4 linked regions of the Anolis sagrei genome follow. The protein of the gene in region 2 binds, or shares a complex with, the protein of the main gene of each other region. Links are inferred from orthologs where the notes say so. Each region holds a gene or a part of one and is shown on either strand. Other genes may lie near its edges. The genes, in order: PIGY, PIGC, DPM2 and PIGQ.

Region 1 (6,090 bases), on a different chromosome or scaffold from region 2:
AGAGCCAGTTAACACCACCCAACAAAGGATTCCCCGCTTTGAAGCTGCAAGGCTATTCAATGCTAATCAAGGTGGCCATCTGCAACATTCACACTTGCCTCAACCCATTAAAACAATTTATAGCAATAAACAGCCATTTTAAAATACATAGTTTAAAAATGTTTTTGAGTATTGAACAAAATCTGGCTACCAGTGTTAAAAAAACTCTGAAATCATATTGTCGAAGGCTTTCGTGGCCAGAATCACTGGGTTGTTGTAGGTTTTACAGACTATGTGGCCATGTTCTAGATGCATTATCTCCATGTTCTAGATGCATTATCTCCTAAAATCCCCTTGTGGGAAAGCTTGATTCCACGACCTCCATTATTATGAGCCCTCCTCCGCAAATAATCTGTTTCTTTCTTATCTCGCCTGAGTTTTTAATCAGTTTTTAATCAGCCTTTCTTTTATCCATTACATGTAGCCCGCCCATTGTCATTGTGATTGTGCCTATTGTAATTTTATATTGCCATGTTTTCATTTGTTTTAAGTAATTACGTTGTTGTTGTTTATTGTTTGCGTTTTTGGTTTTATTTTATGTAATTATTGTCTGGGCTTGGCCTCATGTAAGCCGCTCCGAGTCCCCATTGGGGAGATGGTGGTGGGGTATAAATAAAGATGATGATGATGATGATTATTATTATTATTATTAGGAGCCCCCGGTGGCGCAGTGGGTTAAACCTCTGTGCCGGTAGGACTGAAGACCGACAGGTCGGAGGTTCAAATCCGGGGAGACGTGGATGAGCTCCCTCTATCAGCTCCAGATCCTCGTGCAGGGACATGAGAGAAGCCTCCCACAAGGATGATTAAAAAAAATCAAAACATCCAGGCATCCCCTGGGCAACGTTCTTGCAGACGGCCAATTCTCTCACACCAGAAGCGAATTGCAGTTCTAACGTTTTAATTGAATATGATATATGACGTTTTTAATTATTGTTTTGTGATTTTATTGTTGGAAACCGGCCCGAGTCCCTCGACAGAGGGGAGAAGTCTGGTATACAAAATTGCTAAATAAATAAATAAATAAGTTGCTCCTGACACAACAAAAATATATTATTATAAAATCAAACTCTAAAATCAAAAGAATAAATAAGCAACACACTCAAAAACGGGGGAATTCCAGACAAGAAACAATCAAGGCCAGCTAATCACCCCCCAGCAAAGGACTCCCTCCCCAGGCAGGAAGCAGCCAGACCTTGAAGCTGCAAGGCCATTCAATGCTAATCAAGCTAGCCAATTGCAACATTGACACTTGCCTCAAGCAGACCAGAGTTCTTTCTCCCACCCTGGATATTATTATTATTATTATTATAAATTCAAACTCTAAAATCAAAACAATAAATAAGGAACAACCCTCAAAAACGGGGGAATTCCAGACAAGAAACAATCAGGGCCAACTAATCACCTCTCAGCAAAGGATTTCCCCCCAGGGAGGAAGCTGCCAGACCTTGCAGCTGCAAGGCCATTCAATGCTAATCAAGCTGGCCAATTGCAACATTGATACTTCCCTCTATCAGACTAGAGTTCTTTCTCCCACCCTGGATATTATTATTATTATAAAATCAAACTCTAAAATAAATAAATAAATAAATAAATAAGGAACAACCCTCAAAAACGGGGGAATTCCAGACAATAAACAATCAGGGCCAACTAATCACCTCCCAGCAAAGGATTCCCCCCAAGGCAGGAAGCAGCCAGACCTTGAAGCTGCAAGGCCATTCAATGCTAATCAAGCTGGCCAATTGCAACATTGACCCTTCCCTCAAGCAGACCAGAGTTTTTTCTCCCACCCTGGATATTATTATTATTATTATAAAAACAAACTCTAAAATCAAAACAATAAATAAGGAATAACCCTCAAAAACGAGGGAATTCCAGACAAGAAACAACCAGGGCCAGCTAACCACCTCCCAGCAAAAGATTTTCCCCCAGGCAGGAAGCTACCAGACCTTGCAGCTGCAAGGCCATTCAATGCTAATCAAGCTGGCCAATTGCAACATTGATACTTCCCTCCATCAGACTAGAGTTCTTTCTCCCACCCTGGATATTATTATTATTATTATTATTATTATTATTATTATTATAAAATCAGACTCTAAAATCAAAACAATAAATAAGGAACAACCCTCAAAAACGGGGGAATTCCAGACAAGAAACAATCAGGGCCAGCTAATCCCCTCCCAGCAAAGGATTTCCCCCCAGACAGGAATCAGCCAGACCTTGAAGCTACATATTATTATTACTATTATAAAATCAAACTCTAAAATCAAAAGAATAAATAAGGAACCCTCAAAAACGTGGGAATTGCAGACAAGAAACAATCAGGGCCAGCTAATCACCTCCCAGCAAAGGATTCCCTCCCAGGCAGGAAGCAGCCAGACCTTGCAGCTGCAAGGCCATTCAATGCTAATCAAGCTGGCCAATTGCCTCAAGCAGGCCAGAGTTCTTTCTCCCACCCTGGACATTATTCCACGGATATATGAACCTCACTGGCCTAGTTTCCCAACAGATTTCACAACCTCAGAGATGGAACATGGCCAGCCAGCCCAACTAAACCCAATCTTTAGTTCTTTGTAGGAACCTAGAACATTGGCTCTCGCTTTCCAAGGGACTGCTTTCGACAGCACACTCATTCGGAGGAAGCAGTCTGGTGAAGCTGACTTCCTTTCCCAGCTGACCTTGGAGCTGGCGCTGGCAGTGAAGGCGTGCAACCGTGGAATCATGCCGATGCTGCCTCTGGGTTTCCTGCGCCTCTCCGCTTGCGTTCCGCTCTGGAGGAAAGGCTCTCGGGCTCTCTTCTCCACGGCGGCCGGGAACGGAGGCGAAGGCCCCGAGGGAGAGAAGCAGAAGCCGCCCTTCGAGGCCAGCCTCCTCCAGGTCCTCGTCTGCCCCTTGTCCAAGAAGCCGCTCAGGTGAGAAGCCAATGGGCTCCCATTAGAGGCTGTATCGGTGTAGTTTCAATGGTTCAATGCTATGGAATCCTGCTTGTTTGTAGTTTGGTTGGGCGCCTGCCCTCTTTAGCACAGAAGGCTGCAGACCTTGTGGAACTACTCCTCCCAGAATCCCATTGACAGTTAGAGGTATCAAACTGCATTAAAGTCTACAGTGCAGGTGGATCTTGCAAGTTTTTTTTTGTATCTTTTTAAAATGGCATTTCATTGGGTTGCTGTGAAGCTTCTGGGCTGTATGGCCATGTTCCAGAAGCATTCTCTCCTGACATTTCGCCTACATCTATAGCGGTGAGCTTTGTTGGAAACTAGGCAAGTGGGGTTTATATATCTGTGGAATAATGTCCAAGGGCGGAAAAAGAACTCTTCTCTGCTTGAGGAAAGTGTGAATGTTGCAATTTGGCCACCTTGATTAGCACTGATTGGCCTTGCAGCTTCAAGGTCTGGCTGCTTCCTGCCTGGGAGCGGGGGAATCCTTTGTGGGAAACTAGGTAAGTGGGGTTTATCTGTGGAATAATGTCCAAGGGTGGAAAAAGAACTCTGGTCTGCTTGAGGAAAGTGTGAATGTTGCAATTGGTCACCTTGATTAGCATTGAATGGCCTTGCAGCTTCAAGGTCAGGATGCTTCCTGCCTGGGGGGGATTCTTTGTTGGGAGGTGATTAGTTGACCCTGATGGTTTCTGTCTGGAATTCCCCAATTTTTTTAGTGTTGTTTATTATTGTTCTTTATTTACTGTTTGGATTTTGGAGTTTGATTTTATTTATTTATTTATTTATTTATGACATTTATATGCCGTCCTCACCCTGAAAGGGACTCAGAGCAGCTTACAAGATACACGCACACACACGCACACATACATACAATATATATTATTAGCATAGTACAATATCAGTATTGTATATTACTATATTGTACTTATACCATTAAGTACAATACGGTATGGTATAAGTGTACTTATACCATACCTTTTGTTTACTGGTGTCCTGTTGGGCTTGGCCTCATGTAAGCCGCTCTGAGTCCCTTGGGGAGATGGTGGTGGGGTATAAATAAAGCTTTTATTATTATTATTATTATTATTATTATTATTATTAAATTGTATTATTAGTAATATTACATGTAATATAAAATATATAATTATAATATCATATTAGTAGTATTATGTTATATTTCATTAACCCACTGCGCCACCGGGGGCTCAATGTTATGCAAATACTGGGAGTTGTAGTTTAATGAGACACCTGCATTCTTGGACAGAGAAAGTGAAAGATCTAGTGAAACTACAAACCCTGCCGGCTGTTAGGAATTGTGGCAGTTGAAGTCCAAAGCACCTGGAGGTCTAAAGTTTGCCCGTGCCTGGTCTAACTGTACCTAGTGGGGTGTTATAAGGATGCCTGACACATTATTATTATTATTATTATTATTATTATTATTATTATTATTATTGCCACTAGCATATTACATCTTACTGAAAGACTGGTTTGCATACTTCTTTGTCCCAGTACCATATTCTTAAAGAAATGGCAATAGCTGGCTTGACATATCAATATTTGTTATGTTTCCTAGGTATGAGGAGTCCACCAATGAATTAATCAACGAAGAGCTGGGCATTGCCTACCCCATCACTGACGGCATTCCTAATATGATCCCCCAGGCTGCCAGGATGATTGGCAAAGACAAGCAGGAAGGGGAACCTGAGCGGACCTAGACGTTTTTTCTTCTTATAAGAAATCCACAGGTGAAGAAAAATGTTTCTGTCTCTGCCTACGATGACTGTACTCATCCCGGTGTTGTCTTTAGCTGGACTGTTTTATTCGGCCAGCGTTGATGAAAACTTCCCTCAGGGTTGCACAAGTACAACCAGCCTGTGTTTCTACAGCCTGCTGCTTCCAGTTACCATCCCAGTTTATGTGTTCTTCCACCTCTGGACCTGGATGGGCCTTAAACTCTTTCGCCACAACTAGGTTAGGCTGAAATGGGTGGACATGGACTAAAATATGTGCTTTCTTTTTATCTGTCTGCAATAGGATCAGAAGTCTTCCCAAACAAGTAGTGGACTAAACATATTGAAATAATCATCCACACAAGCGAATAGAAAACTTGCTTTTACCCTTCCAACTCTAGCAAACCTAGTTCCAAACCAAATCCATAGGAATGATGATGGATCATACAGATAAGGTGGATGAAACACACTGTAATTTCACGAGCTATCTGCTTTGCCCACAAGAAAGTGACTACATTTCCATCTTTGGACCTGTATAGTCAACCCTGTGCAGAAATATACCATGGTAGAATTTTAAAGTGTTGCCAGATGCTTTCAAGCCGTTTTCACAGTTCCTTGGAAGAATGGCATTTAGTGCAGAATAATACTTGATGACACCCTAAATGGATTTTCTGTCATGGCGCTATTGTGTTTCCAGGATGTCTTTTAACATTGTTGGACATGGTGATAATAGTACTCAGGATTTTGCTTTCATTAAATTGCACTGTTTTCTACCCATAGCTTTTATGCTTGAATGAGTGATATTAACAGATTGTGATCAAAACAGAATTATAAGGAAACCGAAAGCAATTATTTCCCACTAATAAAGCAACTGAAAAACCAGGTAGATATGTTATTATTTTTTTGCTCAATGCTTTATTTGGATTTTCACCTTAAAGGGGATAATCCCCTTACCTACAATTTTTGTGCCATACTAATCTGGCTCCAGAGGGGTTTTCCAGGCATTCAGAACTGGATTTATAGGGGTGAGGGTTGCAGCGAGAATGGGTTTTGCCCTTGTAGTTCCACTAAATAATATCCAGCATTAGAGTCAGCCCAGAGGTTGTTTTTAAAAATGGCAATACACATTTGTTCTGCTGATGAGTGCCTCCCTCCAGTTTATGGCAGTTCTTAAGGGATTTTTTGACAGATTTTGATCACAGACCCTCTTTGTATTAAACTTCCTATGAGGCTAAGAAAATGACAAGGTCACCCTGTGAGTTTCCATGGCGGCCCAGGGAATCAAACTCTTTTCTTCAGTGCTAGTCCAATGATCAAAGTACTAGACCATGTTACTAGTAAGGTAAAGGTTTCCCCTGACATTAAGTCTAATTGTGTCTGAC
Region 2 (7,592 bases):
GTCTGTGCTGAGCTTTATGACTAGAATATGATTGGGATTGCTTGAAAGCTTGATGGTGTTTCTATTTCTCTTCTACTACAGGGGATTTCCCATGGAAAAGGACAGTGCAAAGGCAAGCTTTGTTGCCTACATGGATGAAATTGCTGCTTGTATAGGGGTTAAGCCTAACTTGCTGTTGCTCTTCCTATTGGACCCCCAACTAGCCTTTAAAATTCTTTGTGGACCTTGCACTTCTTATCAATTCCGTCTGACTGGACCTGGGAAATGGGAACAAGCCAGAAGCACAATCCTGACAGAGTGGGACCGAGTTCTGAAGCCCTTGAAGACGACAGTCAACAATAGTTCCAAAGACTCCACAACTTTTTTCTGGTTTATGTTCCTTGGCTTTTCATTCCTTGGGGCTTCTTTGGTCATTTTAAAAACTCATCACATTCATGACTACCTAGGATGAGAGAGGTGCACTTTTCATATTACATGGATCTCTTGGTTTCATTGTACTGATTAGGTATATATCCAATACAATAAAACAAAAAGGAAATCAGACATTAAAAATATTTTAAACAAGAGGCATACAATCCTGCATAGCAGTCAAGCGTTCAGACTGAACAAAAATGTGACTTTCTTTCAAGTAAGTTGTGAAACAAGACTGGGAAACATACCATGATTTAAATTTTGCCCAATTATTACTAACCCCTTCAAAAAACACAAAATATACAACAGCAATTATATCCTTAAATAAAAGAGAATAAAATGTATCAAATATAGTCTTAAAATTGTTTTGTATTTTTGAAAAAATTGAGCACAGCAAACTTATAAAGTACAACATGTCCCTCTATTTCACATGGAAATTCTGTAAAGCAGTGGTGTCCACACTTTTTAAACTGAGGGCCAGTTCACAGTCTGATGGGGGGTGGGCAGACTATCTATATATATATAAATGTTCTGTGCATAATGAGTACCTTAAAAACAATGAACGAAATCACACCAAATTTGGCAACAAAATGTCACACAACACAAGGAGTGACCATCATTCAAAAAAATATGATTTTGTCGTTTGGGAGTTGTAGTTGCTGGGATTTATAGTTCACCTACAATCAAAGAGCATTCTGAACTCCATCAACAATGGAATTGAACCAAACTTGGCACACCGAACTCCCATGACCAACAGAAAATACTGGAAGGGTTTGGTGGGCATTGAACTTGAGTTTGGGAGTTGTAGTTCACCTACATCCAGAGAGCACTGTTGACTCACACAATGATGAATCTGGATTGAACTTGGCACAGATATTCAATATGCCCAAATATGAACACAGATGGAGTTTGGGGGGAATAGACCATGACATTTAGGAGTTGTAGTTGCTGGGATTTATAGTTCACCTACAATCAAAGAGCATTCTGAACCTCACGAACGAGAGAATTGGGGCAAACATCCCACACTGAACCCCCATGACCAACAGAAAATACTTCAGGCCACCCAGTCAAACTCCCTTTACCAGGGGAAGAAAAAGTAATCAAAGCCCTCCTGACAAAGAGCCATCCAGCCATAGATATATATGATTCACACACAGAGAGATATAGTATCAGATTTGAAAGGGACCCCTAAAGAAGGACAATTATATGTTGCCTATTCCAAAGTAGGCAAACCAGACCATCTCCACATCAGCACTGACAAAGAAACAATATATACTGCTTACCCACACGCACAAATACATTACATATATTAGAAATCAACACCTTCTCATTATTTTCCAAATCACCAGACTGGGCCACAGCAACGCGTGGCAGGGGACGGCTAGTCTATATTTAAAAAATGTAATGTTTGTTTGTGGGATTAACATAACTCAAAAACCACTGGACGAATTGACACCAAATTTGGACACAATACACCTATCAGCCCAACAAGTGATTATGACTCATAAAAACACTGAAAAACACAGGGAAGAGACTTAAAAAGCCCAAAAATTAAAAAAAAAACCCATTACAACGCATGCACAAAACCACACACACACAAACACACACACACACACACACAAATATATACACACACATATATGAGTATATGTGCTGGTACAACTGTACCAGGAGCTCCAATTTTGTTTGCTTTGTACTGAATGTCTGTTGCAGTCCTAAGTTTCAGAGACTCTGCAGATAGGTGGCTTCTTTTGGCTGCAATCATAGGGCAAGCCACCTGTCAATTATAGTTAGGTTCCCTGGTCCCGCCCCCTTTTTGGGTTTTTGGAGGGAATAGGAGCCTTTTTGGGTCAGTACACACAGAGAAGCTTTCCATACAGGACATAAAACCAAGAACTCCTGTAGAAAGCTTCGTCTTCTACAGCTTGGCCAAGGAGAAAAGGCCCCATAGCTTGGCTGAGGATTTTGCAGCCTTACAGCTCTTTTGCTGAAGGACTTCAGCCAGCCATCACTGAAACCTGAACTCCTTCTTTTCCCCTGGAAGTCTACAAAGCTCTGCTTGGTAAGGGTCGCTCGCGGAAGCCAGACGCAGTTGGTACCGGGTGTAGGGGCTCCACACCAACAGAGGCAAAGACAGACTGCCCAGATTAGAAGTTAAGGATTTCCCCATTAGTTAGTATACAGTTATGAAGATAGTGCCTGTTCCCAGTGAACAAGATTGCAAGAGCCAATAGACTGTTAAGAAAGCTTTAAAATATTATTAAACTTTATTTGTACCCCGCTAACATCTCCCGAAGGACTCGATGCGGCTTACAAAGGCCAAGGCCTCAACACACAATACAACAATGCAAAACCTAAGCAAATTAAAAACAATTAAAGCAAACTAAACAACAGCAATGAACAATCCACTAAGACACAATAAAACTGGGCCGGGCCAGAGTAAGGGTACAAGGGTTAAAAGTGCTGATGTGACAGGTGGAATATGAGGCTTATGGGCAAGTGCAGTGTGCGGTGTGCAACGGTTTTAACTTTAATAAAGTGCTTATGGGACTTGGAGGTTTCCTATTCGGGGAAGGCACATCGGAACAGCCAGGTCTTCAAGTTCTTTCTGAAGACTGCCAATGTAGGGGCCTGTCTAAGATCTTTCGGGAGGGTGTTCCAGAGTCGGGGGGCCACCACGGAAAAGGCCCTGTTTCGTGTCCCTACCAAACACGCTTGCGACGCAGGTGGAATCATGAGCAGGGCCTCTCCAGATGAACGAAGAGAGCGTGTGGGTTCGTAGACGGAGATGCGATCACGCAGGTAGGCTGGTCCCAAACCGTTCAGGGCTTTGTAGGTAAGCACCTGCACCTTAAACTGGGCTCGGTAGATAAATGGCAGCCAGTGGAGCTCCTTGAACAGCCTGTTTGTTTTCATTAATAAAGATTGCTCACCGGAGCGACATACAGGGAGCATACCACCCCCCTGCTGTGCCAGCTCCACTGGCTGCTGATTCAGTTCCGAGCACAATTCAAGGTGCTGGTTTTGACCTACAAAACCCTATACGGTTCTGGTCCAGTGTATCTGTCCGAACGTATCTCCCTCTACGTCCCACCCCGGAGTCTGAGATCATCTGGGGAGGCCCTGCTCTCGACCCCACCACTGTCACAAGTGAGGCTGGTGGGGACGAAAAGCAGGGCCTTCTCAGTGGTGGCCCCTCACCTGTGGAACTCACTCCCGGGGGAAATTAGGGCATCATCATCCCTCCTCGCCTTCAGGAGGAGGGTGAAGACTTGGTTATGGGACCAGGCCTTTGGGCACTCTGGCAATTAAATCAGACAATCAGGCGAGTAAGACCAGCAGGATTGTTGAAGTGGAATGTAAAACTAGATCTATGAGTTAACGAACGCTGACCATGTAAGAGGAGAAATTGGGTTTGTATTTGGTTTTATTGATTTTATTGATTTTATGGTTATAGTGCATAAATTGTTGTCAACTGTGAATTGATGTAATTTTGTGTATGGTTGTTTTATGATGCAGGCATCGAATTGTGCCTTTGCTTTTGTAAGCCGCCCTGAGTCCCCTTCGGGGTGAGAAGGGCGGGGTAAAAGAACCCCAAATAAATAAACTTTGTTGAACTTTTAAGCAATCTAAAGACTTTGTTTTAAGGAAATCCAAGGACCTTTAATCTGAGGCAGCCCCGGCGTCCCATTGGGCACACAGAATTTATGTCCTGTCTACAGTCTGATGCACAGGCCCAGCGTGCGACAGCACAGTATATGCACACACAAAACACATATATAAAGACTGGGCCACAGCAATGTGTGCCAGGAGACGGCTAGTATAATATATAAACATTTCTTGGGGCTCCATGAGAAACCTTTCCTTTAAAAGGGGATGAAGAAGTTTGAGAAACTCTGAACTAGAGCATGGATCCACTTTAAATGCTATGGCCGCCTCCTTCCTGCAGAATTCTGGGGTTTGTAGTTTAGTGAGGCCCAGCACCTGCCTGGCTGAGCGGCTTAAAGGCCCCTCCCTAAACTACAAGCCCCAGAATTCAGCGGGACGGAGGCAGACACAGGATTTAAAGAGACAGATGCTCTGTGGATGAGGTCCAATGTACGTGAAGGGAAAAGGGACCCAACCTGAGGCGTCTCTTACTTGGAACGGCAGTGGGCGCAAGTCACCAACGAGGAAGAAGGGGAGGAAAAGGGACGGCCCAGATCCCCGCCTTCCTCTCTTCTGTGGGCCGCCTCTGTCAGTTGAGAGGAAGGTAAGGCCAGGGCCCTTCCAGCCCTTCCAGCAGTGGGATTATTAACAGGAAGCTCTGGAGGGGGAAAGGGGATGTGTCGCCCCCTCAGCCCTTGACTGACGTAGAGACGGGGCTCGTGCCGGGAGGACGTAGGGCGCGATGCGTGAGAGGAGGAGGTGCGCGCGCAGAAGGCTCGCGCGCGCACTAGGCCCTCTGAGACAGTGCCTCACAAAAGCGCGGGAATGAGGGGAGGGGGCTTCTTAATGTGAAGAGGAAGCGGGCCTGCAGCCTGATCGCCCTTAGCGAGGGCCTCATGATCAGAGTTATATTTTGAATGAATGTATTTTGACACATTTGCTTTTTGCTGTGCAATTATGGGAGTTGTAGGAGTACTAAATAATAATAATAATAATAATAATAATAATAATAATAATAACGCTATGAAATACGACTCGCTGGAACACCTCAGCAAGCGAGAGTCCAAAAGTGGCAGGCTCAAACCCAGAACCTCAACCAATGGCTAATACCAAATGAGAGACTTCCCCCTGGGCACACAGAGGACTGGGCGACTTGGAAGGCGCTGAACAGACTGCGCTCTGGCAACACAAGATGCAGAGCCAACCTTCAGAAATGGGGCTACAAAGTGGAATCCTCGATATGCGTATGTGGAGAGGAGCAAACCACTAACTACCTGCTGCAATGCAACCTGAGCCCAGCCACATGCACAATGGAGGACCTTCTTGCAGCAACACCGGAAGCACTCCAAGTGGCCAGATTCTGGTCAAAGGACATTTAATCAACTACCAAACTCACAAATGTTGTACTTTGTCTGTTTGTTTGTTTGCTTTGTTCTGTTAGAAATGTAATATAATTAACTGGTTGCCCTGACATGACAAATAAATAAATAAATGTTACTGGGTTACAATCAAGTGCCAGTTAATACCCCCCAAACAAAAGATGCCTCCAGGCTAACAACAGCCAGGCTGCCTCTCACTGATTGACTTTGCAGCTGCTCAGTGCTAATTAACCTTGTTATTTATTTATTTATTTCGTATCAAAAGCATTGCATAAATTAGTATAGAACCAATAAAAATAGAAGGAGCGCAGACAGCTAAATATCTTTTGACCAAAAACGGGCAACAGGAATGGCATTGTCTGTAGCCTCCAACAATTCTTCCTCTGTAAATGAGGCAGGGCATTGTGGGCAAGCACACAGGTGCGGAGTTGTCTGTTCTGCTCCACAGTCACACAAGGTGTGGGATTCTTTTAGGTAGTGCCATTTTGCCATGTTGTCTTTTGATCTGCCCACTCCACTTCTGAGTCTGTTTAGGGGCTTCCAAGTTGCCCATTCTTGGAGGAAAACAATGCCTCCACAGCTCAGTGAGGCTGTCCATAAGAATACTATGGTCAATGCTATCAAAAGCCAGTAGAATCCACAGGAACACATTATGGCTAGGTCTCTCTGTAGGTCATCTACAAAAGTGGCCAAACCAGGCCTGAAACAAGATGAAATGGATCCAGCAGCTAATCATGGTGCTCAGGAAGGAAAATGTAAGAACAAGATAGAAAATGTGAAAACAATTGTGTTCTCTTGCTTGCACACTTCCTTGCTGTTCTTTGAAGAGAGTTGTAAGCGCCAAGGGAAAAAGCCTTCATGGGCTTCCGTGGAAAAGTTCCCTTATCTCATATTCTTTTACATCTTCTGCTTTTTTGCAGGGTAGCAAAAAGGGAATTAATTCCTGCTCACAATTGGATTGCCTTGCCTCATCAGTAGACTCTTTTTTTTTTTCAGCAGTGACAAGGCCTTCAGTTCTGGAGGTAAGTAATAATAATAATAATAATAAATAAATAAATAAATTAATTAATTAATAAACATTATTTATACCCTGCCACCATCTCCCCAAGGGGACTCGGAGTGGCTTACATGAGGCCAAGCCCAACAATACAGCAATGCAAATAAACAACATACAACGACAATAAAATATAAAAAATAAAAATATAAAATGCAAAAAAACCTAATATAAATAAGCACATCAAGCAATGTAAAATCACAATAATTTAAACACAGAAAATAAAAAAGGAAATAAGTACACCTCCTTTGATTTGACCAATCAATCTGGTATCACCCAGGGTACTGACTTTTCCATTTTCTGAACCATGTTTTCCATTAGCTAATTGAATTTTTCATTTTTATTGGTAGTGATGATATGTGAATAAGGGGACTGCCTACTTGTATCTGGATTTTGGAAAACTTGGTTTAATTATGTTGTCTTGCTTTTAGATTTCAGCTAAAAATCTGGAAAATCATCAAGAAATATCGATACAGGTTTCATCTTCTGTGACATAATACGGTATTCCAGTGCAAGTGGATCTTGAAGGCAGTAATTTAGCCAGATGCATGCTGCGACTCCAGATGGCACAGAACAGAAGACAATGCTGGCAGAAAGTGTTATACAAGAGGCAGCCATTTCCTGATAACTATGTGGACCGAAGCTTTCTAGAGAAGCTACGCAAAAATGTCCATGCACGTAAATACCAGTACTGGGCAGTGGTATTTGAATCTGGACTGGTGATCCAGCAGCTGTGCAGTGTGTGTGTCTTTGTTGTCATCTGGTGGTACATGGATGTGGGACTGCTAGCTCCCCAGTGGTTGTTTGGAGCTGGATTGATCTCTTCACTAATCGGCTATGTCCTCTTTGATGCCGTTGAATCAGGAATAGGAAAAAGTCAGAGTGACCAGTCACAGTGGGCTGATCTGAAGAATGCTGTGGTATTTGTGGCTTTCACCTATGGCTTCTCTCCAGTACTGAAGACTTTAACAGAGTCCATCAGCACAGATACAATTTACGCTATGTCTGCCCTTATGCTGCTAGGACACTTGATCTTTTATGACTATGGAGCCAATGCTGCGATTGTGTCCAGTACACTATCTCTCAATATGGCCATCTTT
Region 3 (7,566 bases), on a different chromosome or scaffold from region 2:
TTATATTCAGATACTTCTATAAGCGAGAGATTCGAGCGCGGAGGTGATGACGATTATTTTTGGAAAAGGGAGAAATAAATAAATACGGGACTATGCAAACAAGAGATAGTTTTAACACTTTCTAATATTTTTGGGGGAGGGGAGGGGCCTTGATAAAAAAGCAGATTAATTACAAATCTTTACAAAATGAATAAAAATAAAAAGCCCTTTGCGGTTAAAAGGAAGTCTAGAGGTCGCATTTAGTTCGGCTGCTCAGTTTTTGATTATTGTTATTTTTCCTTCGAATGGTTTGTGAGGTTCCTCTGGTGTTTCTGTTTTTCTAATGCAGACGCGGGCCAATTCTGGCCCTCCCGGTGTTTGGGACTACAACTCCCATAATTCCTAGCAGCCGGTTACAGCCTCAGGCCTCTTCTTTTTCCCCCTCAGCCGCTTAAGCGGCTGAGGGGGAAAAAGAAGAGGCCTGAGGCTGTGACCGGCTGCTGGGAATTATGGGAGTTGTAGTCCAAAACACCAGGAGGCCGGAATAGGCCCGTTCCTGTTTTAACGGAATGCTGTGCCGTCTTTGACTCGACCGATGATCCGTGTTTGTACTCTGTTCTCCGGTTCCTTCCTTATTGTAGAGAAGCCACACATATAAAGAGGAAATTCACTATATAATGTCAAATGTCATTACCGTTTTTTGCGGGGGAGAAAAACAAATAAAGGTGGTTTTTCTTTTTCTTTTTGGTACATCACACCTGGCCTGGTTTGTTTCCTTACCGTTTCGTTTCATGTGTACGCAATGGGACCAATGCCTGCCTATTTTCTCCCTTTTCCATCTCTCTTACTTTCCTTCTTCCCTCTGTTTCTCTCTTTGTCTTCCTTTCCTTCCTTCCTTCCTTCCTTTCTTCCTTCCTTCTCTTGCTTTCCCTCATGCACCTTTCCTCCTTTTCTTTCCTTCATTTTCTTTCCTCCCCCTCTTTTTTTAGCCCTTCTTTCCTTCCATCCCCATATGCTTTCCTTTCGTTCTTTTTTCTTCCTCGCTTTTTCCTTTTTCTATCTTTCTTTTTCCTTCTTTCCCCATTTCACTCTTTTTTCTTCCTCCTCATGTTTTCCTTTTTCCACCTTTCTTTCCTTCCTTCATTTCACACTTCCTTTTTTTTCTTTCTTCCTTCCTCTCTTTCTTTCCTTGCCTTTCATTCCTTCATTACTTTCCCTCCCTCCCATCCTTACTCCGTTTCTCCCTTTGTCTTCCTTTCCTTCCTTCCTTCCTTCCCTTGCTTTCCCTCATGCACCTTTCCTCCTATTCTTCCCTTCTTTTTCTTTCCTCCCTCTCTTTTTTTAGCCCTTCTTTCCTTCCGTCTTCATATGCTTTCCTTTCCTTCTTTTTTCTTCCTCCTCACTTTTTCCTTTTTCCATCTTTCTCTCTCCTTCTTTACCCCATTTCACTCTTTCTTTTTCTTTCTTCCTCCCTCTCCTCCTTTCCTTGCCTTCCCTCCCTTTCTTCTTTCCTTTCCCTCCCTTCTTTCCTTCCTTCCGCCTCTTGCTTCCGTCATGCACCTTTCCTTCTTTTCTTTCCTTGTTCTTTCTCTCCTCCCTCTCTTCCTTTATCCCTTCTTTCCTCTCTTTTTCTTTCTTTCCATCTTCATATGCTTTCCTTTCCTTCTTTTTTCTTCCTCCTCACTTTTTCCATTTTTCTCTTTCCTTCTTTCCTCCATTTCACTCTTTCTTTTTTTCTTTCTTCCTCCCTCTCTTGCTTTTCTTGCCTTCCCTTCCTTCCTTCTTTCCTTTCCCTCCCTAACATCTGCAATTCAGAGAGGACACATACAAAGTAGAAGAATAAGACATTTCACGCTTCCTTCAGGCCACTTCACCCAGTGACAGCCAACCCAGCAATATCGCAGAGGGCCACCTCACATGTGACAGCCAACCCACAAACATCACTGAGGGCAACCTCACCCAGCATCGCTACTGAGGGCCAGTTCACCCAGCGACAGCTAACTAGCTGTCGTCATGGGAGGCCACTTCATCCAGCGACAGCCAATCCAGTGACACTGTGGAGGGCCACCCAACCCAGTGACATCGTGAAGGGCCACTTCACCCAGTGACAGCCAACCCAGTAACGTCATGGGGGACCACTTCATCCAGTGACAGCCAATCCAGTGACACGGTGGAGGGCCACTTCACCCAGTGACACTGTGGAGGGCCACCCAACCCAGTGACATCGTGAAGGGCCACTTCACCCAGTGACAGCTGTTGTGGAACAGACAGAGAAACTCTTGGACTTTACTAGGGAAAGTTAGGGATGAAAAACAAGGTTAAAATAAAATAAATAAACAAGATGGGAAGTTCTCTAGGAATTGCAAACGAGGAGTTGTTAACGGGCCTGCCATCAAATAACCTTCTGCCTTTTTTTTCTTGCATTTTCTGGGTGCTAAATGCAAAAGGAAAAAAGAACCATGTGCTCCCAAGTTATTTCACCCATGACATTTCAATTCAATTCAAGAGAGATATTGACAAGCTGGAATGTGTCCAGAGGAGGGCGACTCAAATGATCAAGGGTCTGGAGAACAAGCCCTATGAGGAGCAGCTTAAGGAGCTGGGCATGTTTAGCCTGAAGAAGAGAAGGCTGAGAGGAGATATGATGAAGGCCATGTATAAATAGGTGAGAGGAAGCCACAGGGAGGAGGGAGCAAATCAAGGGTCTGGAGAACAAGTCCTATGAGGAGCGGCTTAAGGAGCTGGGCATGTTTAGCCTGAAGAAGAGAAGGCTGAGGGGATATGATGAGGGCCATGTATAAATAGGTGAGAGGAAGCCACAGGGAGGAGGGAGCAAATCAAGGGTCTGGAGAACAAGCCCTATGAGGAGCGGCTTAAGGAGCTGGGCATGTTTAGCCTGAAGAAGAGAAGGCTGAGAGGAGATATGATGAGGGCCATGTATAAATAGGTGAGAGGAAGCCACAGGGAGGAGGGAGCAAATCAAGGGTCTGGAGAACAAGTCCTATGAGGAGCGGCTTAAGGAGCTGGGCATGTTTAGCCTGAAGAAGAGAAGGCTGAGGGGATATGATGAGGGCCATGTATAAATAGGTGAGAGGAAGCCACAGGGAGGAGGGAGCAAATCAAGGGTCTGGAGAACAAGCCCTATGAGGAGCGGCTTAAGGAGCTGGGCATGTTTAGCCTGAAGAAGAGAAGGATGAGAGGAGATATGATGAGGGCCATGTATAAATAGGTGAGAGGAAGCCACAGGGAGGAGGGAGCAAATCAAGGGTCTGGAGAACAAGCCCTATGAGGAGCGGCTTAAGGAGCTGGGCATGTTTAGCCTGAAGAAGAGAAGGATGAGAGGAGATATGATGAGGGCCATGTATAAATAGGTGAGAGGAAGCCACAGGGAGGAGGGAGCAAATCAAGGGTCTGGAGAACAAGCCCTATGAGGAGCGGCTTAAGGAGCTGGGCATGTTTAGCCTGAAGAAGAGAAGGATGAGAGGAGATATGATGAGGGCCATGTATAAATAGGTGAGAGGAAGCCACAGGGAGGAGGGAGCAAATCAAGGGTCTGGAGAACAAGCCCTATGAGGAGCGGCTTAAGGAGCTGGGCATGTTTAGCCTGAAGAAGAGAAGGATGAGAGGAGATATGATGAGGGCCATGTATAATAAATATGTGAGAGGAAGCCACAGGGAGGAGGAGGGAGCAAGCTTCCTTTCTGCTTCCTTGGAGACTAGGACGCAATGGAACAATGGCTTCAAACTACAAGAGAGGAGATTCCATCTGAACATGAGGAAGAACTTCCTGACTGTGAGAGCCGTTCAGCAGTGGAACTCTCTGCCCCGGAGGGAGTGTGGTGGAGGCTCCTTCTTTGGAAGCTTTGAAACAGAGGCTGGATGGCCATCTGTCAGGGGTGATTTGAATGCAATTCCTGCTTCTTGGCAGAATGGGGTTGGACTGGAGGATGGCCCAGGAGGTCTCTTCCAACTCAAGGATTCGATGAGGCTGGATGGCCATCTGTCAGGGGTGCTTTGAATGCGATATTCCTGCTTCTTGGCAGAATGGGGGTGGACTGGATGATTGCCCAGGAGGGCTCTTCCAACTCTAGGATTCTATGACATGAGTCAGTCCAACCTTGCATGGCTTCCAGCCACAGTCTGCAACATGAAAGGTACATAATGGAGCAAACCGAGTCTCCTTCCAGGATTTGGAAGGACAGTTCCCTCTCAAGCCCATCCATACACGGTTTCCAAATGAGCCTCAGCTTTGCAGGCCTGCGAATGACTCTTCTCTTTCATGAGTCTAGGGTCACAAGGCGCGCATCTCCTCTTTTAAGGAGTCTATGACCCGAGCCTGGACTCTGTGCGCGTGCGCGGAAGCCTCCGAAGGAGACGGAAGTCTGCTGTGCGCATGCGCGGGAGGCCTGCCACGGAGAGGCTAGAAACCCATTCTTAGCCGCTGCTGTGCGCATGCGCGGCGGTTAAAGCACCCACCTCTATGGCTCTGCGACCGCTCTTTCTCCTTCCGCCTCTATGGCACCGGAAGGAAGTCTTCCCAAGCAGGAAATAGAACTTCACAATGGTGAGTCTGGGAATAAAAGCCAATGGGAGAGGTTGCTTTGGTTAGGATTATACATTTAGATTTCCAAAAGATAACCAATATGTATATATTATTATATGTGTGTATAGAATAAAATAATATATATATATGCATATAATTTTAGTGCATATATAATCTATATTCTTTAAATACGTATATATTATTTTATATAATATATATATATGTACATAATTTTAGTCTATACATATTATTGATATATATGTCTGTATAGAATAAAAGATATACATATAAGGGATATCTATATATAGATAGATAGATAGATATACATTACAATTATATGCATATATATTATTATATGTGTGTATAGAATAAAATATATATGCATATAATTTTAGTGTATATATAATCTAAATTCTTTATATACGTATATATTATTTTATTCTACAGACATATATCAATGATATATATATGTATATAATTTTAGTCTGTATATATTATTGATATATATATATATGTATGTATGGAATAAAATATATATGTATATAAAGAATATATATATACATTAAAATTATACACATATATATTATATGTGTATAGAATAAAATAATATATATATGCATGTCATTTTAGGGTATATATAATCTATATTCTTTATATACGTATATGTTATTTTATTCTACAGACACATATATCAATAATATATATATATATATATGTATGTATATAATTTTAGTCTATATATATTATTGATATATATGTATGTATAGAATAAAATATATACGTAGATATAGATATAGATATACATTAAATGATATGCATATATATTATATGTGTGTATAGAATAAAATAATATATATGCATGTAATGTCAGGGTATATATAATCTATATTCTTTATATACATATATGTTATTTTATTCTACAGACACATATATCAATAATATATATATATGTATATAATTTTAGTCGAGATATATTATTGATATATATATATGTATGTATAGAATAATATATATATAAAGAATATAGATTATATATACACTAAAATGATATGCATATATATTATATATGTGTTTGTAGAATATAATGTATATGTATGTATAGAATATAGATTATATAGATATAGACTAAAATGATATGCATATATATTATGATGTATGTATGTGTGTAGAATAAAGTAATAAATATGTATATATAGAATTTTGATTATATATAGAGAGACTAATATTAAATACATAAATGTTATGATATATATGTGTTCATAGAATAAAATAATAGATTATATATAGAGACTAAAATTATACACACACACAATAACATGTTTCAAAACATTAATTCAAAAATATCTTTTTTTTAATTACATTCCCTGTGATTCAAAATGAAGAAATACAGGCACTAAAATAAAATTGAAACAGAAATAGGATGTTTTGGAAGAGAGAACATATTCCATGCATATTAAGAGGCTTCCCCATTCGCTGCCATTTTATATATATATATATATATATATATATATATATATAAGTATGTGTGTAATAAAGACAGTCACTTTATTTCTGTACCCAGCCTCCATCTCCCCGAAGGGACTTGGGGCGTCTTTCATATGATGCAAAGTGCCTAAAACCACGCATAAAATAGACACAGAGGACAAGACACGAGAGCAAAACTATAGCATATATAAAACAACATTTTAAAACTCAGAACACAACGCCCGATGATCTGTGGTGACAACTGCTGTAAGACATGGCCACACTAAACAAGATGATTTGTATTGACAGCTTGACTAAAATGAGCACATTATAAAATGTATTTATTTACTTAAAACATTGATATTCCACCCTTCTCACCCCGAAGCGGACTTAGGGTGGAGCACAACATATACACGGCAAACACAGATTCACATACAAAACATAAATATAAAAAAAAAATGATCAAAATATTAAAATACACCATTTAAAACTGTCCTAGTCATCAGCGTCAAATCTAATTGGCCCGGTCATCTTTCCTATTGCCACTTTATTGCCCTGTCCCGAAAGCTTGGTCCCACAGCCAAGTTTTGACCATCCTTCTAAAGGACAGGAGGGAGGGGGCTGACCTGGTCTCACCAGGAAGGGAGTTCCATAGCCGGGGAGCCATCACCAAGAAGGCCTTGTCTCTCGTCCCCACCAATCGCGCCTGTGACAATGGCGGGATGGAAAGCAGGGCCTCCCCGGAGGATCTTAATCTCCGCAATGGTTCACAGGGCTCCTTCCTTCCTTCTCATCTCCTTTCTTTCCCTTCATTCTTCCCTTCATATACATGTCTCCTTGTAGCAGGCAGGACACTTCACCTAGCAACAGCCGGTCCTTCACTGAGGCACAGCAAATCCGCTTTGGCCCTTTTCTTCCTTTATAGCTGGACCATGAAGGGACAAAGTGCCAAAATTGGTCCAAATCCACCAAACCACGGAGAAGCCTTGGTGGTAGAAACCGGCATACATACATACATTGTATACACACACATGGATAGATAGATATACAGATAGACAGACAGATAGATAGATAGATAGATAGATAGATAGACACACATGGATGGATGGATGGATAGATAGATAGATAGATAGATAGACAGATAGACAGATAGACAGACAGATAGACAAGGGGTCAGCATTGATTCTCCTTTTTCCCTTTCAGGCCACTGCAACTGACCAGTTGGTTGGCTATGGCTTGGTTGCCTTCAGCCTTCTCCTCTTCGCTTATTATACCGTCTGGATCATCGTACTGGTATGGACTGGCTTGCTTTTTTTATTTTGATCCCATATTAAAGGAATAAATAAAGGCAGAATACATTGATCCCTCCCATGTGAATATTCAGAACCCCTCCAATTCTCATAATAATAATAATAATAATAATAATAATAGTAATATTAATATTAATATAATATATAATTATATATATTAATATATTTTATATATATTATGTCATATATATTCAGGACGTCTTCAATTCTCATATTATATATAGGAGCCCCCGGTGGCACAGTGGGTTAAACCCCTGTGCCGGCAGGACT
Region 4 (7,989 bases), on a different chromosome or scaffold from region 2:
TATAGCCTCCAAGTTAAATCGGATGCCACTTTTCAAAAAGCCAGCCCTCTCCTGAGCAACCACCCTGGCCTGGGTATGGTGACCGAGGACCAAGTTCATCAGCTGGCAGAGAAAGCCAAGGTTATCTGCCACGACCTGGACAATATCAGGAATCATCTCCATTTCCGGCAGGATGAGTTGGTTCAGCGGATGCCAAACCCCAATGGCAACCATTACGGAGCCGTATGTGGAATTCACTGCTCCCTTGATGGGGTTCTCTATGTGACGAGTGAAAATGCCCCCAGGGTCCACACCCTCAACCGCCTGGGCCACACATTTCGGTCCCTGCCCTGTATAGAATGGAAAAAGAAGGGCACCTTTTTGCCTGAGGATGTGACCCTCACCAGGGCAGGGTTGGTGGCCGTGACAGACATGGTGAACGGAACCATCCGCATCTTCAACAATCACTCTAAGTTCTCCAAGGGCGAATGGCTAAGCATTGGAAAGTTTTCTGCCCCCAGGGGGATTGGAGTTGATGGGTCCGGAAAGATACTGGTGGCCGACTACACAGAAGGCCAAGTGCACTGTTTCGCCTTAGACCGCGCTTTCAAGATGCAGGGTGTCCGCTCCATCTCCAACCTTCAAGGGCCACGTTACGTGTGCCCGGCCCCCGAAGGAGGATTTGCGGTGAGCGAAGAGTGCGGGGACGTCAAGGTGTTCAGTAACACTAACAAACCGCTCTCTTCCATCAGCAGCAAGTATCACCACCACTTTGGCAACCCCGCTGGGATCTGTTCCGATAGTGAAGGCAACATTCTTGTGGCGGATGAACAACACCAGAAAGTGTACTTGTTTCCCAGTAGCGGATCCCCAATCTGCCTGGTATCAAAAGGTCTACAGAGACCAGCAGGAATTGCTTGTTCCACACAGGGTTTGCTTTTTGTTGCTGACAGTGGGGATAATTCCATCAAAGTCTTCAAATACCGCGTACGGCCCTATTACAGTGCTGACGTTACACCCAGTGACAGTCCGAATGTAACTCCTAGAAGGAGGGCAAAGTAGGATTTTTCCATGCTCCCACATTACATTTATGACTCTGCCTCACGAGCTGAATAGGTACATCTACACTGCATAATCAATGCAGTTTGACACTTTAATTATGGAATCACAGGAGTTGTGGTTTATAAGGTCTCACAAGATCTTTAGCCTTCTCTGCCAAAGAATGTTGGTGCCTCACCAAACTACAGACCCCAGAATCTTATAGCATTGAGACCTGCCACTTCATCAAATTCATTAAATGCTACAGAGCCACCCACTTAAGAAAAGGCAACCTACTGGGCTCATCACATGATGTAGGCTCTAGCAAGTGTAGGGTAGAGAGATCTTAGTGTTTAAAAGGGGTTGCAAAGGGTTATCTTTTCAGACGCTTTCTAAGCTGTTTGGCAAATGACTTTTTTGCAAATTATCCAGCTAGAGGTGGGCAAAATGGCCAATTCTGTCATGTGATTTAAAATGATACAGTTGAGCAATTTGTGGGATGAGCCGAAATGCTCTTTTGAGAAAAAACTCTACGATTACCTTTTGCTCACGGAGGAGGAAAGATTGGCAGTTTGCTGTGTTCCTTTCTGTCTCTTGCACTTTCTGGTGGCTTGCCTGCTTGCTTGCTTGCCTTCCTTCCTTCCATGTGTTGTGTGTGCCATGTGTTACCTCCTCCTCCCCTTCCTTCCTTCCTTCCTTCCTTCCTTCCTTCTTTTCTTCTATGTATTGTGTGTGCCATGTGTTACCTCCTCTTCCTCTCCTTCTTGCCCTGCTTTTTTCCTTCTTCCAATATGAGGAAAGTGTGTGTGTGAGAGTGAGTGAGAGAGAGAGTGAAAGAAACTGAAAGAAACTGAGAGAGAGAAAGAGAGAGAGAAGGATCATTGAGAAACTAGAGCAAAATGTGCCAAAGCAGGATGCTGTCCCTCCTGCAAAGACAAAAATTTTGCAATTTAATAAACTTTTCCCATGTGTTCATGATATAACCAATTAGGAAATGACATTGATAACCCATGAACCAAAAATATAGCCCAGGAGAGGAGGTATTTCTTTTCACAAAGAAAATGGGAGCGGGACAGTGGACAGGAACAATACCCTGCAATGTGATGGCAAATCCACTGAGAACTCCTGATTAAAATGGAGAGTTTGCTAGTGTGTGATGGAGGTAGGGAAATCATCCATTTAATTTCAAAACAGAGTATGCCTGAGCCGTATGGTAAACCTACTCTTCCAAACACTTGACATGTTCAGTGGAATGAAGTCTATGGTCATTAAAGTGGTGTTAAACTGCATTAATTGTATAGTGTAGATGCAGCTGGTATGTGCACTTCTCCAATTATGCATCAAACTGCTCTGGAGATGAAACTGATCTTACAACAGCACGTTAATTTTTTTGTGCCATGATTCCTTTTAAGTAAACAGAAAAGACGCAACAGGATACAGTAACGGCATGGAAAGAAACATTCAAAATGACACCAAAAAAAAGGGAGAGTCCTCAGGCCAGAAACAGCACTGGATAAACCATTTAGCCTGCTTGAGTCCAAATATATGGAGCAAAGAAGGCCGGCTCCTGAACGTTTCCTTATTTTACAACAGTTTGTGTTATGTTTTGCTCTTTGTTGTAGAAAACGATGATTTGTGTGTTTCTCCATCTCATCAGGCATGTTTGTCTTAACTGCGTATCCCTTATCCAAAAAGCTTGGGACCAAACATTTTTTGGATCTTGGATTATTTTTCTCTCTCCAGATTTTGGAATACTTGTATCTGCATACAACAGTCAGTCTTTAAGCATGATTTTTAAATGTGTGTGCTTTGTTAATCTCTATTTTGTGAATTTTGATATCTATTTTATAGAAATACTTTTTGATATGTAGCTTTTATAGGAATACGTTTTAATATGTGCATCTGTAGTGTTTTTGCAATGTTTATGTGTTTTAATTATTCTGTAACCCACCTCGAGCCTTGAGAAGGGGCGGGTAAAAAATAAAATAATAATTATTATTATCATTATTAAATGCACGCATAACAAGATACCTTGGAGATGGGCTTCATATATGTTTCATATTCACGTTATACACATAGCCTGAGATGATTTTATACACAATATTTTTTACTAACTTTGTGCAGTAAACAAAAGGTTGGTCCATTAGAAAGCAAGGTTGCCACCATCTCAGCTGTCTATCTGAACAATTTTGGATTTCCAAAGAAGGGATGCACAAGCTGTAATTCTAAATCATAAGTCTTCGGGGGGGGGGGGGTTAGAATGTAGAAGTTTATATATGTAATATGGTTCATTTCTTTGGCATGCCCCTCGCCTCTGGAACTCCCTCCTGAAGGAGATCAGAACAGTGCCACTCAGGCATATGGTGATGCGAATGTTAAAAGATCTGGCACTATGAAATAGGGAATGGAATTTAGACATGGCTTTTAACTTTGTCTTATTAACATCCTGTAATTTACTATTATTGTTTTCATGTGATCTATTTTATTGTCGAATGCGACGTTTCGTTTATTTTAAATTGTTTTCGCCTATTGTTGTATTTTACGGCATTGAACGTTTGTCTTTTATGTTGTGAACTGCCCTGAGTCCCCATGGGGAGATAGGGCGGGAAAGAAATAAAGTTTTACTTACTTACTTACTATAGAATGCAGTTTCATAACTTTGTTTAACTGCATTGTACGGAGCTATATGGTTACAAATAAGATTAGAAGGAAGGAAGGCATGGTTGCCATCTACAGCACTATCAATGTCCAGCAAAACTGTGCGAAAGCAAAGGTGAAGATTGCTTCGTACCGCCAGAGGCTTATCACACAAAAGCAGGCATTATATTGGAAGGGAAATGTGTGTCCCACCTATGTCTGCTGTAAAAAGATCTGAATTTTGCATATATCCCTCCCTAGTTTTGCTGGAAGAATACTCTTGTAACTGTCAAAAACAGCAGACCATTTCTCTGCTATTTGAAGGATTGCTCTCTTACATTTGCTGTTCTGGAATATTTAGGCTTCGTCAGGTTAGTATGCAAGAAAAGAAGAAAGAATCTCTTGATACTCTACTATCTATCTATTTAGTTCTAGTTGAAATTGCTTGAATTTTGCTATTAAATGACAGAGAGAGATTGTGGTTTTTAACATTGCACATATTTTAATGCTTTTTAACTGTGAATTCTTTCACAGTTAAATCCTGCTTTAATGTTTGCATATATTTGTGTAATTAAAATCATATGCTAATGATTTAATTTTAAGTCTCCTTTGGGAAGAGATAAAGCAGAGTATAAATAAATATCATACAATAATAATAATATTTTAATGTCTATGCTGATGCTTTTATGTCAAGCAGCTTTGAGTCTCCTTTGGGAGAGATAAAGCGGGGTATAAATATAATAATAATAATAATACATAATAATAATAATACATAATATTACTAAATTGAATGCTAATGCTTTTATGTCAAGCCATTTTGAGTCTCTTTTGGGAGAGATAAAGTGGGGTATAAATAAATATAATAATAATAATATTACATAATATTATTAAATTGAATGCTAATGCTTTTATGTCAAGCCATTTTGAGTCTCCTTTGGGAGAGATAAAGCGGGGTATAAATAAATATAATAATAATAATAATAATAATAATAAATTGAATGCTAATGCTTTTATGTCAAGCCGCTTTGAGTCTCCTTCGGGATATTTATCTATTTATTTATCATGTCAGAAACAAATTGAGAATACAGCTATAATGTATAGGGGAAAAAACCCCAAAACTCCTCAAACATCGTTAAAAACTTGGCATTATGGTGGATGCAACCCAAGGCGCTGCTTTCCTAATAGCAGGGCTCTCCTACCTGACTTCCCTCCTTCCCTCCAACCACTGGGCGCCTTTCTGTGGGCCAGGTTGAGGAGGAACTCCATTGGCCGGAACCTTTCCTTTGGGAGCGAGGGAGCCGCCCGGATGATAATCCGAGCCGGACCGCGTCTCCTAGCAACCGCCCCCCTCGCCGCCGGAAGTGGCTCCAATGTCAAGCGGCGCGCGGCCTTTGCTGCCTCCTGGTGAAAGTAAGTCATGCTTTGAACCGGCCCCTTCCACACTGCCGTATGACCCGGAATATCCAGGCAGATCATCCACATGATCTGCTTTAAGGTACCTTAGACCAGGCATGGGCCAACTTGGGTCCTCCCTCCAGGTGTTGGGGACTACAACTCCCACAATTCCTAACAGCCGGTAGACTCAGGGCCCTTCCACACTGCTGTGTAACCCGGAATATCAAGGCAGAAAACCACAATATCTGCTTTGAACTGGGTTATCTGAGGCCCCTTCCACACAGCGGTATAAAATCCCACAGTGGGCCCCTCCACACAGCCCTATATCCCAGAATATCAAGACAGAAAACCCCACAATATCTGCTTTGAACTGCGCTATTTGAGTCCACACTCAACTAATGTGGGATTTTCTGCCTTGATATTCTGGAATATAGAGCTGTGTGGAAGGGCCCAATATCTGCTTTGAACTGGGTTATATGGCAGTGTGGACTCAGAGAACATAGTTCAAAGCAGATATTATGGAATTATCTATCTTGATATTCTAGTTTATATGGTGGTGTGGAAGGGCCCTGAGTCCATTTCAGTGTGGACTTTATGCAGCTGTGTGGAAGTGACTACAGATAATAATCCAGTTCAAAACTGATCACGTGGATTATTTGCTCTGCTAATCTGGATCATATAGCAGTGTAGAAGGGCTGTATGTCAGTTGAGGTCCCGGCATTTTCAACCCAAGACACTTCCACACTGCCATAGAACCCAGAATATCCAGGCAGATCATCCACAATAACTGCTTTGGACTGGATTGTCCGGGTCCACACTGCCAAATATCCCAGTTCAAAGCAGATAATGTGGGATTTTATACAGCTGTGTGGAAGGGGCCTCAGGGCCCTTCCAGTTAGGCCCTATATCCCAGGATCCGATCCCAGGTTTTCTGTTTATCCCAGATTATCTGGCAGTGCAGACTCAGGGCCCTTCCACACTACTATATAACCCAGAATATCAAGGCAGATCATCCACATTCTCTGCTTTATACTGGGTTATCTGAGTGCCCTTCCACACAACCATATAACTCAATATTAAGGCAGCAAATCCCACAATGTCTGCTTTGTACTAGGTTATCTGAGTCCACACTACCATATATTCCAGTTCAAAGCAGAAAATGGGGGATTTTATTCAGATGTGTGGAAGGGCCTTCAGCCCCCTTCTACACTGCCATATAATCCAGTTCAAAGCAGATCATCTAGGTTTTATATGACAGTGTAGAAGGGTCCTAAGAAACTACCTGACAGCTTTACAAATAGAGTATAAAACAGGCCTGGGCCAACTTCAGCTCTCCAAAGGCCATCCAGTCTGACCATCATTCAGGTCAGACTGCCCTGTCTTCCTCCTCATCCACGGAGAGGGGAATGCAGTGCAATTTAGATGTCAGAGTATGCGGCTGGCTCTTTCCATTCCGCAGCCACATGACTCACGCATCGCATTCTGCAAGGGATCAGGATCGCGGAGAAACATGTCCTGGCTGTGACGCACGCACACGCTCCATTTATTCATTCTAAAGGTCTCTCCCACAGAGGCTAGGTCATTGTGACACATCCGTGATTAGCAATGGTCCCTAAGGATGAGCATTGAGCCAAGGATTCTTGCCCTCCACGTTACTGCTTTTTAACTTTTATGGATTCAATTCCAGGCAGTTCCCGAGCTACAAGTACCCGATTTACAAACGGCTCCTAGTTAAGAACAGGGCTGGACTGGATGGCCTCTGGGGGTCCCTTCCAAATATTTATCTCAGATATATAGATATAGGCTGTTCCCAAGTTACAAACACCCGATTACAAATGGCTCCTGCATAAGAATGGGGCAAAACCACAGGAAATGAAAAAAATCTTCCCCTTCAAAAGGAAAGGAAATCCTCTCCTGGAAGAGTTGTTATCAGGGGGAAAGGGGGTCTGGTCTCTAATTTTCTCCGGTCCTTTTTTCCACAACCAGCCAAATTCTTCACAATCCAGTTTTCCCAGGGATGGAAAATGAGGTGAAATCTTCTGAGCAGTGGCACAGACAGCAAAGGAAACACCATAGGAGTGTTAACCCTTCCCTATGCTATCTATATATTTATCTGGAATTATACTTTAAAAATGTCCTTGTTCAAACTTACATACAAATTCAACGTAAGAACAAACCTACAGAACCTGTGTTGTCTGTAACTTGTGGACTGCCTGTATATGGAGGTGCCCACTTGAACAAAAAAATGCAGAAACCTGCTTTTACTACTTTTCCATGAGACTGTGTTTCAAAAACAACAAAGATTTGTGCACATTAAAGACTGGTTATTTTTGTAAGGACATATGCTTGTATGCACTGATTATGTGGGCTGTAGACATGAACATTTATGTTGGTGTGCTTTGTAGCTGAGGGAATGTTGGAACTTGGTTCTTTCCAGGCAGACATGCCATTTGGATTTGTCTTGGGTTCTGCTTTGAGAAACAAGGCACCGCAATTTTTCCAGTAACTAAATGATTGCTTTGCATGTGTTTCCTATAACTAGATGTTCAGAGGGTTTTTAAAAACTTTTCTGCTATAAAGCAAGCTAGAAAAGCCTTTCCTCTGTATCTGGTCAGTATCCCTTCCCTCAGGAACAAATTTTAGGCATAGTTAATTGGCTAAAAATTGTCCAGTCGCATCCCATCAGTGCAAATTGAAAAATAGTTTAATCCAGTGTTGAAAAGGATGGTCATTTTGGGGCCAGATAGGTGGCCCTGGGGAGAACATTTCGTAATTGTGTGAGAAGGGCACAATGAAAAATCCTCCTTTAGAAAGCTTTGTGGCGTGGCTTGTCCTACTTTTGACAGGAAAAAACCAGAGGCAATGACATGTAATGAGTAAATGTGACTAGGTTTCCACTTCTTTTCTTGTTTCTTCATGGTAATGTTAAAAGAGATTTAC

What was found.
Region 1: PIGC (region 2) and PIGY share a complex: the UniProt entries of both Homo sapiens proteins name them as parts of the glycosylphosphatidylinositol-N-acetylglucosaminyltransferase (GPI-GnT) complex. The link is inferred for Anolis sagrei from reciprocal best matches to the Homo sapiens genes PIGC and PIGY.
Region 3: PIGC (region 2) and DPM2 share a complex: the UniProt entries of both Homo sapiens proteins name them as parts of the glycosylphosphatidylinositol-N-acetylglucosaminyltransferase (GPI-GnT) complex. The link is inferred for Anolis sagrei from reciprocal best matches to the Homo sapiens genes PIGC and DPM2.
Region 4: PIGC (region 2) and PIGQ share a complex: the UniProt entries of both Homo sapiens proteins name them as parts of the glycosylphosphatidylinositol-N-acetylglucosaminyltransferase (GPI-GnT) complex. The link is inferred for Anolis sagrei from reciprocal best matches to the Homo sapiens genes PIGC and PIGQ.

What each region holds. Positions count from the first base shown.
Region 1 is NC_090025.1:20,335,940-20,342,029, reverse strand, and holds PIGY (phosphatidylinositol N-acetylglucosaminyltransferase subunit Y), read left to right. Parts: upstream 1-4,733; coding exon 4,734-4,949; 3' UTR 4,950-5,590; downstream 5,591-6,090. Other genes in the region: PYURF (protein preY, mitochondrial), read left to right, coding at 2,761-2,951, 4,552-4,693. UniProt on the Homo sapiens protein: Part of the glycosylphosphatidylinositol-N-acetylglucosaminyltransferase (GPI-GnT) complex that catalyzes the transfer of N-acetylglucosamine from UDP-N-acetylglucosamine to phosphatidylinositol and participates in the first step of GPI biosynthesis.
Region 2 is NC_090024.1:131,146,043-131,153,634, forward strand, and holds the start of PIGC (phosphatidylinositol N-acetylglucosaminyltransferase subunit C), read left to right. Parts: upstream 1-4,577; 5' UTR 4,578-4,663; intron 4,664-5,818; exon of another isoform or gene 5,819-6,193; intron 6,194-6,358; 5' UTR 6,359-6,460; intron 6,461-6,923; 5' UTR 6,924-7,040; coding exon 7,041-7,592. Other genes in the region: dimethylaniline monooxygenase [N-oxide-forming] 2-like, read left to right, coding at 82-451. UniProt on the Homo sapiens protein: Part of the glycosylphosphatidylinositol-N-acetylglucosaminyltransferase (GPI-GnT) complex that catalyzes the transfer of N-acetylglucosamine from UDP-N-acetylglucosamine to phosphatidylinositol and participates in the first step of GPI biosynthesis.
Region 3 is NC_090031.1:2,448,817-2,456,382, reverse strand, and holds the start of DPM2 (dolichol phosphate-mannose biosynthesis regulatory protein), read left to right. Parts: upstream 1-4,547; 5' UTR 4,548-4,565; coding exon 4,566-4,583; intron 4,584-7,189; coding exon 7,190-7,279; intron 7,280-7,566. UniProt on the Homo sapiens protein: Regulates the biosynthesis of dolichol phosphate-mannose. Regulatory subunit of the dolichol-phosphate mannose (DPM) synthase complex; essential for the ER localization and stable expression of DPM1.
Region 4 is NC_090034.1:27,568,130-27,576,118, forward strand, and holds the start of PIGQ (phosphatidylinositol N-acetylglucosaminyltransferase subunit Q), read left to right. Parts: upstream 1-4,988; 5' UTR 4,989-5,064; intron 5,065-5,070; exon of another isoform or gene 5,071-5,149; intron 5,150-7,989. Other genes in the region: NHLRC4 (NHL-repeat-containing protein 4), read left to right, coding at 592-1,041. UniProt on the Homo sapiens protein: Part of the glycosylphosphatidylinositol-N-acetylglucosaminyltransferase (GPI-GnT) complex that catalyzes the transfer of N-acetylglucosamine from UDP-N-acetylglucosamine to phosphatidylinositol and participates in the first step of GPI biosynthesis.